4 linked regions of the Drosophila melanogaster genome follow. The protein of the gene in region 4 interacts with the protein of the main gene of each other region in a pairwise test. Each region holds a gene or a part of one and is shown on either strand. Other genes may lie near its edges. The genes, in order: CG5674, CG32633, CG3517 and CG6276.

What was found.
Region 1: the proteins of CG6276 (region 4) and CG5674 interact in a two-hybrid assay, tested with the Drosophila melanogaster proteins (one large-scale study listed by BioGRID).
Region 2: the proteins of CG6276 (region 4) and CG32633 interact in a two-hybrid assay, tested with the Drosophila melanogaster proteins (one large-scale study listed by BioGRID).
Region 3: the proteins of CG6276 (region 4) and CG3517 interact in a two-hybrid assay, tested with the Drosophila melanogaster proteins (one large-scale study listed by BioGRID).

The regions. Positions count from the first base shown.
Region 1 is NT_033779.5:17,961,025-17,966,378, reverse strand, and holds the start of CG5674 (uncharacterized protein), read right to left. Parts: upstream 3,001-5,354; 5' UTR 2,834-3,000; coding exon 2,774-2,833; intron 2,236-2,773; coding exon of another isoform or gene 1,930-2,235; intron 1,871-1,929; coding exon of another isoform or gene 492-1,870; intron 431-491; coding exon of another isoform or gene 1-430. Other genes in the region: btv (beethoven), read left to right, coding at 1-430, 492-1,870, 1,930-2,235, 3,363-3,644.
Region 2 is NC_004354.4:13,559,729-13,564,226, forward strand, and holds CG32633 (uncharacterized protein), read left to right. Parts: upstream 1-1,942; 5' UTR 1,943-1,982; coding exon 1,983-1,989; intron 1,990-2,237; coding exon 2,238-3,088; 3' UTR 3,089-3,631; downstream 3,632-4,498.
Region 3 is NT_033777.3:19,423,160-19,427,185, reverse strand, and holds CG3517 (uncharacterized protein), read left to right. Parts: upstream 1-1,986; 5' UTR 1,987-2,128; coding exon 2,129-3,277; 3' UTR 3,278-3,407; downstream 3,408-4,026.
Region 4 is NT_033777.3:15,317,624-15,322,231, forward strand, and holds CG6276 (uncharacterized protein), read right to left. Parts: upstream 2,447-4,608; 5' UTR 2,291-2,446; coding exon 2,204-2,290; intron 2,143-2,203; coding exon 817-2,142; 3' UTR 580-816; downstream 1-579. Other genes in the region: CG14866 (uncharacterized protein), read left to right, coding at 1-515; CG44040 (uncharacterized protein), read left to right, coding at 2,802-2,984; ear (ENL/AF9-related), read left to right, coding at 3,795-3,981, 4,053-4,608.

The sequences.
Region 1 (5,354 bases), on a different chromosome or scaffold from region 4:
GCAGGCCTCATCCAGGGCTATGAATTATCCCCTCTTGTTTACATTGAACTATTTTTGGGGGCTCTTTCCAAAAGTCAACGAGATGAGTCCAAGGTCTATGATTGTCTTGTACGAAGTGTTTATATGAATTTAGCTAGAGCTACTTCTAGAGATAGCCAGCTATCCTTATCCTTGTGGGTTTGTCATCAGGCATATCCCGATAGATTAAACCCCAAGGAGTGGGAGCTGTTTGTGAACAATTTCATGGGTAGTTCTGATGGCAGTATGGTGCTAAGTCAGCTTGGAAAACTGCCCGACTGCATGCCCAAGGAAGCGCAATTAAAGCTGGCTATGTTACTCCAATTGTTCCCAGATTTGCGAAGCAAGCTCCAGTTGGAGAAGGACTATATCTGGCGCGGATTCATTGAGGCTCAAGCGGATGATGTGCTACGTAAGTTGTAGAAATAATTTAGTTAATTTCATCTTATTCAGATTTATTTTCGAACTTACAGCTGCGTTGGGGTCCAGCTTCCAGCGTGTGCTTATTGCTCAGATTTTCCGACCCGACTTGATGCTTCACCAACTGCGAAAAGTGAGTAGCGATCTGCTGGGAATTTCCCCAGATGCCTCCACCCAACCTTCTGTGGAGCAGTTGCTGCAGCAGAGCAGCTGTGATCGCCCGATTTTGATGGTTAGTCATGCGGAAAATGATCCAACAACTGAATTGAGAAAGTGGGCCAATCAAAAGTATAGAGAAATGGCTATTGGAAAAGGTGTTGAGAAAAGAGTTCTCTCCGAAATGCGTCAGGCTGCCATAGATGGCCACTGGTTATGCGTTAAGAATGTCCATTTGGTGCCGGAATTTCTAACTCAAATGGAAAGGGAATTAAGTGAAATTCAAAAATCGAAAGACTTTCGATTGTGGCTATTGTGCGAATCAACCGAGGGATTTTCCGAAGCTGCCATTTATAAATGCCTTAAAGTACGTTATGAGCAGCCTAAGGGACTAAAGCAGATTGTGATGCGTTTGCTCCAGAACTTCGCTGCTGAACAGGATCAAAAGCTTAAAAACCAACCAAAGAGCCTCAAGATGAGACTGGTTTATTTTGTCCTAACAGCTGTGCTTCAACAAAGGCGACAGTTTATACCACAAGGTTGGTCAAAATACTATGAATTCGGTGAGGCAGATCTAAAAGCGGCTCTGGGTATCCTAAGAATGATGGATCAGCAACTTAATTCAGGAAAATGCGATTGGTTGCTGATGCAACGTCTCAGTGAAGCCCTCGCTTATGGCGGAAGAGTAAATAATCAGAGGGATCTGGAGATACTCACAACCTATCTGAACCAGTTTTGTTCAGCGGACGTCTTAAGCAATCGTTGGTCACCTCTTGGATTATCTCTATCCATACCAACTAGCGGTCAACTGCAGGACTACTACGCTGCATTGGAGAAACTTCCTGACACAGATGAGCCCAGTATGTATGGTTTGGCCAATCAGGCACAACAGCAACGCGAAATTGAACAGGCCAAAAGAGTGATAAAGGAACTCAGGGGATTGCATTACGGAAGAGGCTTGGCTAAGGATTCTGGAGGAGCAGGAGAGTCTAAGGGAAACGATCAGCTCACTGGTCGTCAGAAGCTGGAACAGCAAATTAAACCCCTACTGAATCTATGGAGAAAGTTGGCGGCTTCGTGTACCATAATCCAGACTATGAAGGAGGCAAAAACTGATGTGGGTGAATCTCCCTGGGCACTTTTTGTGCTGGCTGAACTGAAACTAGGGGCGGATCTCTACGGCATAGTTCACCAGACTTTGTCGCAGATGCATGCCTGGCTTAAGGAGTCGCAGGAGGTGGATGGCAGCACTCTGAGAACTCTGGCAGAACAGCAGGTAAGAAACTGGGGTACAGTAACGTAACTTGAAAATGCATAATAAACTGAAATTCATAGATTCCTGCCAGTTGGCTTAAACTATGGCCTGGACCTGGCAGCAACAGTGCCGTGGACTTTTTAAGAGCCCTAATCGTTCGAGCCCAGGCTGCCGAACTTCGATTCCGGGAGCAAATGCATCTGGATTTTGTAGAGGATATCAATTTCGTCCAGGTGTTTAACTGTGAGAACCTGTTGTCCTGTTTAAAGCTGCTGCAGTCTCGAAAACTGGCAGTTTCCACCGAACGCCTGGAGTTGCAAACTTGCGGCTCCTCAAACTTGGAAAGTGATTCTTCGGACATAATACTCAAGCTGGCGCCGCTAAAGGTGAGTAAGAATTAGTATCTTTAACCGATAATGTTTTGACATCAAGTTGTGAAATCAAATTCAGCAAGCCACTTACTCATGATTCAAGGGGTTATGTCTTCTATGTCTTCTTCTTTAGCGACTAAGAATATATTTCGAAGCCATAAAAGGAAATTTAACTAATCGCAGGATAATCAGCCAAGAAATTGCCATAACTATAATATTCGCGGTAGATGGCGCATTGGTTAAGTTGGGGATAACCATTAAATATCATAAGCCCTCGAGAAGCGTTACAGTAAATACAATAAACATTGAGAAATAATTTTGGGATACATTTTGCCAGGTTGCTATATCAGATACAATTGGATGCACACGTAGTAGTAGTAACAGTAACAATACTCTGTTACGGATTACCTGGATAGTAGATATGCATACATCCATAGTCCAAATTGATTCCCCCAATCCAAAATCCCAAAAGATACTTATTTATCTTTTGGGACGAAGACTGATGACATCTTCTCTCCCTCTTGCCCGTTTGCTTCTTGTCTTTGTTCCTCACCTTCCCCATTTTGGCCATAAAATGTGTCTCCATCGCCGTCTCCATTCTGGCCGTTTCCATAGCTTCCGTATCCGTAATCCTGCGCCTCCTGTTTTCGGTGCGCCGCCGCCGTTCAATGCATCGAAATTAAGCTTGAAATGTGCACTGGATGCCCGTTCTTTTCAGTTTTCTCACGCCGCTTTTTTTGTTTTCATTTGATTGACATTCCGGTACAAGAGGGGGAATTAGAGATGGCACCTTGTCCGATGCCTATCGATAAGCAGTTCTGAGCACAAACTTACATTTTACTTTCCCTTCTCGTTTGTATATCTACGTATTCGATGCCAATCGATAATCGGTTTGGAAGCTGACTATGGGGAGTGCATCCGCTATGCCCTGATGGGTGTACCTGCTAGAACTAACACTGTAAAAAAACAAATAACTATTTTTTTGTATATACATTTTAGGACTTGGAGAATAAACTTTGCAAATCATCTACCCGCTTTTCGCCTTTTTTTTTGTTTTTAGCAATTGTGAATATATGTAATGTGGAATATATCTAAGTATTTCATTAGTAACTAAACTTGGCACTATTCATTTTCCATTACAGATTGATGGCGCCCAGAGTGGAATGGGAAAATCGAACCCCTTCTACATCAAGTACAAAATAAAAGACGAAGTACAAAATGTCAGTCATACGACTACTAGTTCCTCAAAATACGGCAAAAATTCGCTATATTCCACGCAAAATGCTGAATCGAAGCCCAAACTCCCATTATATTCTCGGAGCAGTCGCGACAAATTGATTTGCCACCTAAATGTTGATATTGTGACCGGAACTGCGGAACAAATTCTCTTGGCCGGAACAGCGCTAATAGTCGAAGATTATTAAACACCACTCAATATTATTTTATACCAATATATTTCAAATATATATGTAGAGAAGCGAAGAATGTGTTGGACTGACACTTGAATAGCAATTCACCTTCGCAAATATTAAATAAAAACCAAACGAAACTCTTTTAACATTAGTTTCCTACCCTTGACACGCTGTCATTTGGGTCCCAACTAATTCTAAGTAAATATTTAAACAACTAACAATTAGGCAGCCAAAGGCAAACATAAAAATGGGCCATTAAACATTTAAGGCGAGGACTTAGACTCTGAAGAGCTAATTGATTTCCATATGTCTCAGTGTCTGTGTTTATTCGGGGATGCCCCTAAAAATTAATTTGCCACCGCCGAAGGGATTTTATTGCGTCCTGTGTCCCTCATAATCTGCTCATATTAAACTAATTGCCGTAAATTTCAACAACAAACTGCCATAAATGTCGGGCATACTTTTAGTTGCCAAGACATCCCCGACATCCCCCAGGCCCAAAACCATTTTACCGTCAAAAACTTGTCTTAACTTTAATTAAGTGGCATTATGTTCAATTAGGCAAAAGTTTCCAATATGCAAATTAACACAATTTGAGTGTAAAGTGCCTCCCGGTACCGAGAAGGGGGCGTGGCAGCCGGCTTCTGTGGCATATAAATTGCCCTCCGCACAAATCACAGTGCCTCGTATCGGTGGGCGTGGCAGTTTGTTAACACATTTTGCAAATTTAGCTATGCAGACTTCTCAGATTTTGTTGTACGCCTTTCCCAACTTGTTGTGCTGTCGGCTATTGAGAATAAATAATTTATTACGCTTCAAATGGAAATTTAGTTGCGGATTAAGGAATTAGGCAGCGCGATAAGGCTGAAAAGGTAATTGAGTAAGGATATAAAGTGAATGTGTATATCAAAAGATACATAAACTCCGCTCCGAACTTCAAATCCAATTAGCTACAAGGAAGAACAGTTTAAAGACCTCCTTCTTATGCATTTAGGCTACATAAAGATCAATTTCCAAAATATTCCCAAGCCGCAACCACATTAATGAGGCCCTTAAACTATTTCACCCGCCGCAATGCTGGATTACCAACTTAACCAAATAGTTCATCGCATTTAATGTTAAAAGCTTGTGGTTTTGGTTGATTCCAATTCGCATTGAATAATCCCCACAAAGTTGCAGCTTAATTATGTGCCCGCCCCAAAATCCCCAAAAACTTGCATTGCCGATTAAATTTTGAATGTCTAATTTGCAGTTGATGGGCAGGCGAATCCGTACTTTACACTCAAATGCACAAATTGATATCCTCCTTTGGCTTCTTCAGTGTTTAGTGTTTGACAAATGTCGGGGCCAAGCGGCCACATCCTTGTAATCCTTGCCAGCCTACAAGCAACGGCGTCGCCATCTAATTGCAGCCGCCTTCAATGAGCTGGGATTAGAAATTAATTAAAGTATAAGGCTAATGTGACATCTGCATGTGTTTGCCGCCCATTTCCTGGTACATACACACGAATATGTCCCCACATCTGCCATAAATGTAAGCCCACCAAATGTGATTAATCAGTTTGCACTCATGCCGCACTTTTGACTTTGCAGCTGGGCTTTGCCCTTTGTCAGTGAGTCTTCTTTGACTTTGGCTCCTCTTCCGGACCCGGGATGCCATTTAAATGGCAATTCCCCTTTACCATTCACTTGAATACCACTTACTCCATTTATTGGGTGCTC
Region 2 (4,498 bases), on a different chromosome or scaffold from region 4:
TGAGTGACCGGCGACGACTAGACAGTGCGAGTCCATGCTTGGATGCATACATACATACATACATATGTATGTGTGCGTCTGGATGTGACCCACGGCGATGGCCCCTGAAACCAGGATGCACCTAGCCCAGAAGCAACCCTCCTGCGTTCGCCGCCCCTGGCTACCCTCGAAAAACTGCCGCATTGTGTGGCCAGAAAGCGAAACCGCGACTGCAACTGGCCCTGCAATAGAAAATGCACTGCAAAAAAACTGGGAGTATGTATTTAAAGTACTTGATAAAGTTGGATTATTAAATAACACAATTAAATTTAATATTAATAGAGAAGTAGTATTCTTATCAAGATGAGAACTAAGGAGCTATGTTAATCTTGAACCAGGTGTGGCCAACTTTATTTTTCACAGTGTGGCAAGGATAAGCAAAGCGACCAGAAAAGTATAACCAGCAAAGATGGACCCATGGAGAACGGATGCGAATCGAGAGCGGAAAGCGTGACAGATAGATGGGTTGGAGCAGCAAGGGGTTAATGAAGGAGGGCATTTAGTTCGTGGTACTGTGGAAATGATTAAAATGTATTAGGTGAAATTAAGTTGGCCAAACAGAGAAATGGGGGGGGGGGGTTTAAATAAAGAGGCCAAAATGAGGTTAAAACGTTGCACAAAGCCAAATGGAGCCTGGCTGGGCGAAAACAAATTCATTAGGCTGCAGTGGCATAAAAACATCATACCCACAAAAAGAAGATGCACAACGAAAACCGAACAAAGTTGATTTAAAGTATTATAATCTGCAACATTTTTGCGTATTTCGAGAATGCAGCTTGTTTACCCAGTTTGAAGTCAAGTTAGACTTATCTCTGGTTAATTGGTTTGCTCGAGAGCAGGGCGCGCAAAGCTGCTGGGAAATCGTGGAAAAATCGTAAAGCTTAATAATGACACTCCCCACACAGCCCCTACCACCAGTCCAGCATTGGGAATTCACAAGCCACTGTAAACAGGTGCAAACGTTGCGTTGCACAGCAATTTCAGCAACCCCTCTTAACTTTTGCGCCCAGCTTTCCACGTTTTCCCTTGTTCAAATAGTTGTAAATGGGCGAAAATGCAAACAAAAAACAGTGATCCACTTGAAAGGCAAAACAAGAAAAATCATTCAAAGAGGCAACAATGCTGGGAAAACAAAAGGAAAACGAACGAAAACGAACTGCAAAGACAGCGACCACTAAATAAGTGAAGTGCGTGGACGACTGGACGAGTGGAAATGCGGAAAAGTGGGAAAGCGGAAAAGCGCGCGCAAGAAATTTGCAATGTGGCGAATAAATAAAGGATCAAGCGATTCCCCCATTCAAATTGGCGAATATTGGGCGGTTAAATGGAGATACATGCACGGATGTAAGGCAACTCGAAAAGGTGGCACAACAAATGAACGAGATAACTGGTTAACCACGAGTTGTAAACGCGCAAGCTATTGTTATTAGTATGTTAAAAAGCGGAATAAACTTTTTGTGTTTAACTACAGCTCCATGAAATATGTATATGCTATATGTAACAAACAATAAGCGAGAAAGTTTGTCGGCAACAAAAAAAAAAGTAATAACCATTATGATATTATGAATGCAATTACATTCTTGACGACTCGAAAGAATTTTAAATGTATAAATTATAACGAGATAAAAAAATAAAATATAAATCAAATTTACTTAACATTTATAACATTTCTAGTGCAATATTTACTTTCACTATATGGGTTAATAAAATAAACTTGCCTGTTTCTCGATGTTAAACCCCATTACTTCCAATTGGCCAATCGATTAGAAATTCAACAAGAGTTTGCCAAGATCTGAGTCACTTGAGGTCGGGCTTCTTATCTGGCCATGTAGGTATATTCCCGATAAGCCCTATCAGCGACATCGAGGCGGAAACACAAAAAGACCATCAAATCGACCACTTTCACAGTTGAAAGTCAGAGCTGCTGAAGAACGGACAAGAAAATGGCAGGTAAATAGGTCGTAAGGCCAAGATGCCATAACAAAAAATGAAAACATTTAACTAGGTGGATGATATAAAACAGTTACCAATCTTTAAAGTACTTAATCAGTTGAAACTCAAAATAAATTAATTCAATTTTGGAAACTAACTTGGCCTAGCCAAATAAACTAGTTTACTTGCCATGAACAACAGAATTAAAGAGTTATACCATTCGGTGTGCTGTTAAATAATCGTTTCATTTTTCCATTATCCCCCAGACCACAGATGGATGCACTTCAGCAACGGCAGCGTGCCGCCGAATGCCGTGGTGGCTGGTCACGATTCGGACGGGGACACCATCTACGTGGGCCGTGCCTTCTTCTCCAACGACATGCTGCCGGCGAAGGTGATTCCCAACAAGGGCAAGGCCTACGTGGCGTATGCGCGCGAGGAGCACGAGCTGGAGAACTACGAGGTGCTTTCCGGCTACAACTACGAGTGGCTGTCGGCGGAGAACGGGGAGGTGCCGCCGGGCGCCGTCAAAGTTGGTCGGAATGTGGACGGCGAGTATTTGTATGCGGGCAGGGGTTATCATGCCGGCAGCTTAACCATGGGCAAGGTGCATCCATCCCACGGCTGCCTGTATATTCCCTACGATTCCGATGAGGTTAAGATCTTTGCCTACGAGGTGCTGTGCCAGCCGGAACGTTGGATCGACACCACCGCAACAAATATTCCGGATGGAGCTCTGGTTGCTGGGCACGATTCCAACGGGGACACCATCTACGTGGGCAGGGTGTTCCGCAATGGTGATCTGCTGCCAGCCAAAGTGGTGCCGGCGAAGGGGAAAGCCTATGCCGCCTATGCCCAGGCGGAGCACGAGCTCACCGACGTCCAGGTGCTGACGGGATCCGGATTCCGTTGGGTTCCGGCCTCGCACGGAAATGTGGCTCCCGGAGCCCTGTCCTCCGGTCCGAATGTCGACGGGGAGCCCCTCTACGTCGGCAGGGCCATCTACTGCGACAGCTTGAGTGTGGGCAAGATCCATCCCTCGCACGGCTGCATCTACATCCCATTCGGTGGCGAGGAGGTGCGTCTGGAGAATTACGAGGTTCTGGTGAGGATCTAGACGGACAGCTTTGCCTTTATTCCATTTTTTTTTTAATAAATCTATTTTTTACACACACAACAGAAGTATACAGATTAAAGTATAAATTTAAGTTTAATTCGATCGACATCGAGCAACGTAACTGATAAAATTTATGGTAATGCACCCAGTAATTCTAAAAAAAAAGTACCCCTTTCATAGAGTTTTGGTGATAATAGTTCAAAGTGGTTGTCATAGAAATTTCGAGGTATTGCGGATGTGAGGAATTTCTTCTATATGCGGGCCTTATGTTATCACATCGGTTATCAATTAGCAACAATCAATTGATTAGTTGGCCATAAATTTGCGTCAACTTGTAACATAATTAACCATTTGCCTTCGCCCACTGACTTAACAAACACTGCATCGTAAAACTCAGACAGATATCGCAGTTATCAGAATGTGTACATATATGCACTCGATGCTTTATAACTCGACCTTTCGTCTGCCGAGGTAAAAAGTTATAGGTATCGAAACTCTTTGTAACTTTCTTTGTATATTGAAAAGTTTATTAAAACGTTTCATAAAGTTAAAGTCAATTCATTAGTGGCGGGCGTAGCGTTTTATTTCATAGCTTATTAATGTGCACACGTTGTAATCAATACATGTTTTAAGCACTTATTTGACAGCACAAAGTTTCCCATGGAAATACTTTTTTTCGCAATTTATTTTATAGGAAAGTTGCTAAAAGGCCTTAATCTTAACACTATCATTGGCGCCACCTATGAGATGATTATCTGCACTAACCGTGGCGCCACCTATGACGAGCTGGAGAAAGTCGAGCCGTAGCAGTTTGCCTAACCGCCGACAGCTGGCGATTTAAGCTTTCGACTGGTTCCTGTCTTGGCTAAATGCATTGAGCTTTCTTTTCCAGTGTGACCGTTCCAGCGTAGTAACCAAACACCACGCCACACCATTGCGCCATACAGATATTTTAGGTAATTTCAGCGACGCCGCAGTCGACGTGCAGCCCGCTGCGCCCGACGGTCACACTCTGCCCCCAAACAGCTCCAAAATCGGTTGTCGTCGCGAAAAGTGCGAATCGAGTGCATATTTGCTGCAAAAAGAAGCGAGAACACGGTGACGTGACGAAAGCATTCGAGTGACGAAGAGTGCGAGCGCGCTGCATTTGTTTACGATTCCGATTCCGATGCCATTGGTCAATTGGTAAGGGGCTTTGGGAAGTGTAAGAGGAAGAGCGTGCGGCGCGGCAAGTAACGAAAGAAGAAGAAGCAGCAGCAGCAGGGCACACGCAACGTGCAACATTGTGTGCGAGCGTGTGTGCGTGTTTGTTTGTTTGTGTGACAAAAATACAACAAGTGCAAGCAACAATAGTTAGCGGCAGCAACAACAACAGCACCGAAACTCCTTGCCAGAACGAGACAGCAATAA
Region 3 (4,026 bases), 4.1 Mb from region 4:
GCTGTCCGCTTTTAATGGTAATTGGTGCCTGCATAACCATTAAAGGGTTTTATGCGAATGACGTGGACGTTACATGCGAGTGTGTATTTGTGGCGACGAGGCACTAATTTTAGGTACGTGCCACAGTCTAAGCGGTTATAAATGTGGGTTAGCTGGGCTTACACTCAGATGGTCCCGAAATTCAGTTGATTGATATTTTTAAAGCTGGATTATTTACAGACCAGATCTGTGGAAAAGTTTAACAGAGTGTGAACGACGCCTTAAAATTGGTTTAAAACAAGTGTTTATCATCCTGCAAACAAATTCGCACTTCAGGATAAAATATATATTAATCATATGGCAACCGTTATGATATTTTGCCAAACTTATTTTTGTTCTGTAACAATTTAAGCAGAGTTCAAAGTTTATTACTTTTAAAATGGTTGGCATATATCTTCAACATTAAAATATATCTAATATCAATCGATTAAACGAAACCTTAAAAAATATTACATAATCGGTGTTTTGCATAAATCTCTACAGATACATTTCGTGCCATTTGCTGTACATAAAACAATTTCCAGAGGTATTTTATTTCTGCTCGGAAAAATGGTTTCGATTGTAACTTTATACGGCAGACAGGTACTCCTATTGCCGCCTGACCATCGCCACGTGTCCGTTCCATGCTGTCAACTTTTATTGTTAGAGAAACGAATATGAATTTCTTGTGGGTCGCTTTTCCATTTTCCAAGAAAAATTGCCGGCTAACGAAGTCCGGCCGATAAGGCCCCGGCAACAACAGTTGGCCATTTTGTCTGGCCAAGATTTATGCGCGATTGCTCAAGTTTTATGAGTTACGTAGTTGCATTTTAGCCTAAAGAAAAAAGAAACAAGAGCCCGAAGGTTGTGGATTGAAATCGCTCATCTTCAGGACCGCACCGCGCTGCTATTTCATTATGAGTTAAACAAAGTTGTAACGACTTTTCTCCCTTTTTTTTTTTTTTGTCTGCGACAGATTATGGGGCTTTTGTGCTCTGCGATTAAAGCCAGTTTTCTTACACTTATGGCCAAAAAGTTCCCTGATATGCAAGGGGTCAAGTTGGAAGGACATTGAGCAAATGAAGATTTACATTCGTCAGCGATTTTTTTCCGTTCGCCTTTTCCATTAGAATAAATGTTATTAGATGACTCTTCGGTTCCCGTGACATTTGTCAACAGGAAACGGATATGGCAAAGCTTGTCTAATAAATTCTTTGATGTATTTACGCTGACGTTTCCCTTGGGAACGAGCTCAGGATGTCGTACTTTATTTATGCCACTGCCAGACGCATTTCTCACTCCCCAATGAATCATAAACTGACTCAATGCCGTCATCAACAATTACGAATGTATCCCGCCCAAAAAAAAAAAAAGGACATCCATTACGAAGGCCGCAAAAAGAGAAATGAAATGTCGCGTCGCCTACTTGGCGGCTGCCTGAAAATTTCCACTGTTGGCTTAACAAATATTTGACCCATCGAAACTTATACGTGTGTCTACAAGGAATGGGCAAACAAACGAAAACACAACTCAAACAATCTATGCCGTATCAAATGCCGCTTAGCCCCCGACAACATGAAAAGCCAAGAAAGTAACCAAATTTGGAGAAAATCCTGAGGCTTTGCCTTGTTATCTGACACTTGTGTTTATTTTGGGAATAGAAACACAATTTGGCCAAGAAAAACTTGGTTTTATAAAATGTTGTATGTTTTCATACCTTTACAGTACGACAATCTTTCCAAACAAAAATAGTGAATATTTTATTCTCTGATAAACGGAAAAGCATTTGATTGTTAAGAGACTTACAAATGAAAATGTACTGCGGATGTAGTTTGATTTATTGCAACAATTGTATTTCGCACTTGTGGTTATTTTTAAAAAAAACGAAATATTCCATTCCCGTTTTAGTTTACCAAATGGGAAAAACTCGAAATCTAGCAGCAATTGATCATTTTAAATCCTGTCAGGCGAACATTCGCCCATAACATTCATTTGGCTTGTCTCGTTTTATCAACTAGTTAGAAAAAAACTTTTAGGTAAAAAATTCGAAAATTGTTCATGCTGCAAGGAGTAGCGAACAGCATCAAAATAGAGGTAAGACCGATTCGCGATGCAGGCCCATCATGCGATGCCCGATTTCCGATGCCGGAATAATTGCCAGCACAAGGAGTGCCAGAGGCATGCTCCTTTGGGCATAATCGATCAGCACACCCAGTGCAAGTGCTTGGGCGAGGTAAATGCCTCATCGATTTTCCTAGAAAATGTCCTGGACCTGGCCAACACTTTGGCCCAGGTGATGATCATCTGTGGACTGCACGAGTGCAAAGCGAAATCAACCGTGGACATTATCACATATGCCTTCTTGCATTACGATCAGGTGTGCTATTGCATTGATACCACGCCCAAGAAGCGACTGAGAAAGGAGGATTTGTTCCACGAGCTGGGCAAGAAGTCGCTGATGAACAAGGTGGAGGCCCACTTGGCCTATGCCATCATCAAGAGGGGATTCAAGGCCTTCTACTACGAGCCGAAAGTGGACTTGACCTACGATGAGCAAGGCAGACCCTCGTACAACGATGAATGCGTCTGGGTCCACGCAGCCAGGAAGTCAGCCGAGTCCTATGCCCGCTTCGATGGCCTCTCCTGCGCCGAACAGTTGGCATACGAGGCCAAGATCAAAATAGCCTTCAAGAAGTTCTACGATCGCATGCAGACGCGCAAGAGGCAGCCGGAGGGCGACGATTGCAACTGCTGCTTCTGTGCCAAGAAGCGGGGACATCTGGTCTATGCCAAGGAACCGACTCCCTGCACTTCCAACAAAAAGAAGCCCAAGCACGTGTGTCCATATTGCTGCAAGAAGAAGCAGAAGCAGCAGTACACACACCCTGCTCGCCAGCCGGCCAAGTGCCCCAAGTGCCACAAGTCGCGCAAGTTCTGCTGCTGCACCAAAATGGACTTCAACTTGCAGTGGGTCAAGAGCATATGGGAGCGGCCGGACTTCAATCAGTACTACAAGAACGAGATCGCCGAAATCGAGGACCGCCTGGTCAAGGGAACCTGCTGGCTGCCGCCGGAGCCTGAGGAGAAGCTGCTCGATGAGGGCGAGGGCGAGGAGGAGGAGGAAGCCCACCAGGAAATGTCGCCGGAGGCTCTCCTCGCCCTCGGCGGCAAAACGGTGCCCACTATACCGGATGAAGGAAACGGTTCTCCACTGGCCACCAAACAGCCGTCGATCACCGAGGGTGAGGGCGAGACCTAAGTTTGAAGGATCCTGCGAATCGGCGCTTGCTAGATTTCTAAATTTTACTTTACTCTTGAGGAAAGCAGTTCTCAAAATTTTCAGTTCCAGCTGTTCTTCAACAATTTATCATTAAAGTTGTACTCAAGCTAGTTTATGTACTTTTCTGTAAACAAGGTTTCTTTTATTTTCGTTCCACATAGCCATGGTATCATTAAAGGATTAAGAGCCTTTCAAAAGTAAATTTTTCGAAGAAGTATAGCTCTTAAACAAAATTACTGCCAGACCTAAGGTAGCTCAAATGTTTAATAAAAGGTTTAAAATCAGAAGTTCATTCAATTGAATCTGGTTAAATTCCACCAACTTCACTTTTAATTACCCAAAGTAATGGCTCGAAAATAAGGGGAAGTGAGGAGGTCATATCAACTGCCTTATATTAAGACGGAAAATTGAGTTTGCTCTTAGGGGACACACACACCTAGCTCGAACAAACACGGCCGCATCCATTTGGCCCACTCACACTCTTGGCCACTTGGAAAACTAAACCGGCTGCGAAGAGCTGTGACCTGTGTTGGTGTCTGTGTCTACTTTGGCCGAAAGTGGCATGCAACAGTAATGGAAAATACATTTAATCTGGCTTATGCAGCAGCTCGGCCCGACGATAACTCGGGCGCACTTCATCACAGCACTTGCGGCTGAGCAACCCACCTAGGAGAACACCTCTCTTTGAGCTGGAAAAGTGAAAATGTGGGAAAGCGTTCAGGCAGCCC
Region 4 (4,608 bases):
TCAACAGCCAGCAGCAGGTGAACTGGAAGACGGCAAACTCTGCCTGCAAGGGTCTAAACTCCCACCTGGCCGAGTTCGAGAAGGTCTCGGAGAATGAGGAGATCATGGCCTATCTGCTGAATCAGCCGACGCATCGTGGTCGCGATTACTGGCTGGGCGGTCTCAATCCTGGCCTCCTCTGGATCTGGTCCAATTCGGCTAAGCCGGTGAATCCCAACATGAATCTCACATCCATTGCGATGGCCCAGAAGGGGGAGAACTCGACGGCCGCCAATCTGGTGGACAGTTCGGAGCAGGCGGCAGAGGAGGCGACCGGCGAGGATGTGCTGAACAACACGGTGCAAATAGAGGGCAAGGGTCGCTGCCTACGGCTAAGTTACAATGCCGGAAAGCACAGCTATGTGTACTACGGACAGGAGTGCACCTCGCGGCACTACTACATCTGCGAGCACGAGGACAAGACGCTGGACAACAAGATCAAGAAGATCACCCGCGAGCTGAAGCTGTTCGAGTGAGGATGGGATGCAACCCATTCCGATCCTCATGTGATACTTCAAGTTACCTAGCCATATATCGCATAATTTCAAATGAATTTATTCTTGTGTTACACATTAAATATTTATAAATATTTATACAATTAATAAACATACCGGATAGTTTTCAAAACGTTTTTAAGGATACTTTGTTCTTGCACAGCGAAGCTTAAAGGATTCTTTTTTTTTCTCCAACGAAAATACAAAAGAGAATATTAAACAAAATCGATACTGGAACTGGGTTCCGTTTGCGTTAAGCGGAAGGTATACACAGAGATCAACGCTAATCCGGATACAGGTAGTCCTGCAGGATGTTCTGGAAGGCTATCTTTATCTTGCCGCGATCACGGCCGTTCAGCTTTTGGATGTCGGGCAGCAGGCTCATCAGAAACATGGCATCCGGATCGGTCTTGCAGTCGCACAGCTCCGCACCGCCGTTGGACACGGATCCGCCGGACGCGTTGTTGGCTTCCAAACGCAGAGGAAGCGCTGACGGCGGCACCTGTGGATGTCCTCCATGCATATGGTTGTGCCCATGCCGTTGACTCAAGTAGCTACTGCTACTGCTGGCACTAACACTACTACTGGGCGCCATCGGGGTGGCCACGGCCGCAGTGGATGGTGTGGGCAGTTCCGCTTCGGATAAGCCAGCAGTTCCTGGAACACCTCCTCCTCCTCCGCCTCCGGCGTGCGTTGTAGTGCTAACCAAATCCACGGGCTTGCTGAAAGTAGGTCGCACAAACGAAATGTTTGGATGGGCAGTCGGCTGTGCGGAGTAGTTGACCCCGGCCACTGCTGCAGTTGGAGCTTGGAGTTCCTGGGAACGCGGACGAATAGCGCCACGCATCTCGTCATGGTAGGTGCGCATTTGGAGGCGACCCGGAAGCATTCGGCTGGCGTGTGAATGCTGGTTGGCATAACGACGCTGGGCCTCCGCCGATGAAGAGCTAGAAGTAGGCGCCATCTTGTGTAGGTCCTGGTCATCCTGTTCATCCTCCTCGGGCTCGTGCGCCTCTTGTTCGTAGTCATCCACCGGCTCCTCGCACTCCGACTTAATGTCGTTGCCGTCCAACTGGCCGTGGTAACGACTGTTGCGCTGCTGCTCCTCCTCCATGATGTCATCCAGCTCGGAGTTGTTGTGTTCCGCCTCGTCAAAGTAGTCCAGATAGTTGTCCAGCTGCTGTGCAGGTGGTGACTGGTGGGCGGAGGGCGTGGGCTGGCCACCAATACTGCTGCTGCCCGGAATGGTCACTGAACGCTCACGCTGCATACGACTAGAAAGGTTCGAGAGGTGTGCCAGGGCGTCCTGCACCTGTGTGTCCAGCGATTTGGGCTGCTGGTGCTTCTTGCGTAGATACGGATGCAGAAAGAACATGCGGTCGAAGTAGGACCAGCAGGGTGGCACCTTTTCCTCCAGATAGTTGGTGTACTCTCGTCGGAACGAGATGCGCAAATTGGTCCACTTGGCCAGACTGGCGCCCGGATTCTTTTCCAGCTTCAAATCCACCTCGCGCCAAAAGTTCTCCACGTACGGGCGGCAAAAGTAGTATTTGTGCCTCGGATTGTAGATGGCCTCGTCGCGCTGCACAATTTCGATTAGTTTAAAGACCTACAGAACAACAGAAATATGTGAATCAAATCATTTTCAAATTGCATATCCATGCAAATACCTCCTCCGTTAGCCAGCGGGATGCACTACAGCTGGTGTTGGGATTGCTGGACACGAACTGGCTGCCCGCGAAGTCGGTCGTCATCATGGGTGGGCTGTGGCTCCAAGGCAGTCGCTCCGATGGATTCAATTTTTGGCTGACTTATCCAGCGTTCGCCATAACTTTTGCGAAATATTTTTATTGTTTTTCCCAAGTGTTCTTTTAAGTGCTGTGAACCAAACAGGCGGCCGAACTGGTTCCGGATCACAGAAGCTTTTGCTGACTATTTTGGTTTATGCGGGTTCCTTAAAAACAATGATCATGCAATATAAAAATTTCCCATATATATATCATCTTGTCTGAATCCGCGTGCTATGCTTAAAAGCTTAACCTGTAAGTGGCAAAAAGCGAAATTCCATGTGTTGCTATTTCTAAACAAACACAAAACACATTATTTAAGTACCACGCAGTGTTTGCCGAATTGTTTCTTTTCTCTTGATATTTGGTACATAGGCGGAATTGAAGCATTTGTGTCAATATTTGCAAATCTAAAAATGAAAGGTATAAAATTGAGCAACTATCCCCGGGAAAATATCACAGTCACAAAAGAGTAATCAAGATGAAGTTCTTCGCCATTCTGTTCCTTCTGTGCGCCATCGTTGGATTCGCTGCATCCTCCACCTCGACAACCACGACGGAAGCCTCCTCTGATACTTCAACCACTTCGGCGGCACCATCCCCAGTTCCGTGCGGAAATGGGCCCCAAGGACCATGTGGCAAGAAACTATACTTTTTCTACTAAGAAACAAATAAAGCACTCTATTCTTTAAAAAATGCATCGAGTTAAAAATCTGAATGAATTTAAACTAGATATATGTACATATTTAAAACTAATTTCACGAGCCACCCTAGAAAAAGTAAACGCAACGCATATTCTAGTATATTTTACCCGACTCAAGTGTATTTTTTGGTGCCCCGAACTTTGGTCACACTTTACCATTTTGGATTTTATTTTCTGTGTTTTTCCAAAATTTACTTCGATTCTGGCTCCAAGCTTTTACGTTTTTTCTGAAAATTGTGCGCATCTCCATGTGAATGCCGCACGGCGCGATAGTAAGTATAAAGCGTGGCTGGTGGGGGCATGTGGCTAAAGGAAACCACAAACACGGCGAAAGCTTGCAACATGAAAAGTCCACATTGTGGCACACATTCGCTCACAAACAATAACAAATTGAACGCAAAGCGAATCATAACAAAAAACGTCGGTTATCAAAGGATATTCAAAATGTGGTAGCTAGTGCGGGCATCCTGAGACCGATTGAAAGGTTTCCAAAGCCAGGCGCAGACTTGGAGGACGTGACCTGCCACAGGATTCGCATTAGAAATCACGCATGCACACTGAAGCGAAAGCAAGGAGCGCAATACTTGGCTAACACCTCGTTTGGCAATCCATTGGGCCTTTCCACATAACTGGCGATCATTTGTTTACGTCGCATCAAGCTTAAGTGCTTGCACACTCGAGTTGCATTGGTTTTGGCGCGCTAATACGTAGCATCTTAATTCACCACTTAATTGCAGGCAATCACTGGAACTTGATGCCCTACCCACAGGCATGGCGGTCAAGGTGCAATTCGAAATTGGCCACACGTCGAAGCTGCGCAGCAAGAAGACACCGCATCCGCAGGCCTTTACGCACGACTGGGAGATCTACGTTCAGGGCGTGAACAAGGCGGACATCAGTGCTTTTGTGGAGAAGGTGGTCTTTGTGCTGCACGAATCCTTTCCGAAACCCAAACGAGGTAAATGCGGCGATATATCATGGGAGTAGTTCAGTCGGATTAACTCTGTTACCCGAATTGTTTATTTGCAGTGGTCAAGGAACCGCCGTATGCCATTCAGGAGTCCGGCTACGCTGGCTTCCTACTGCCTGTTGAGATTTACTTTCGCAACCGAGACGAACCCAAGCGCATTGTTTACCAGTACGACCTGGTACTGCAGTCCACGGGTCCACCGCAGCACCACGTCGAGGTAAAGACGCACATTTTCGAGGCGCCGTCGGAGGAGTTTCGCACGAAACTTATGCGAGGCGGTGGAGTGCCAGTGTTCGGAGCTAACATCGGTGCCGGCAGTCTCGCCCGAACGCTTTCGCCCAGTGTTGGCAGCGGTGAGACAGCGCACAGTAATGAGATGTCTGGTGTCAAAGCCAAAGGCGTACCAGGTACAATATCCATGAACTCGGATTTAAACACCGGCAAGAAACACAAGTCGCGCAGCGAGGATCCCGGAAAGAGCAATGCCTTCTCTGCCCTCTTCGGTCCGCCTATCACGAAGACCAGCGTAACGGCCAACAACATGGCCCAGGTGCCTGTCTCCAAGCACTCTCCGGAGGCTAAAAGTGCTGCCGTTGGCGGAAAGGGTGTGTTTCA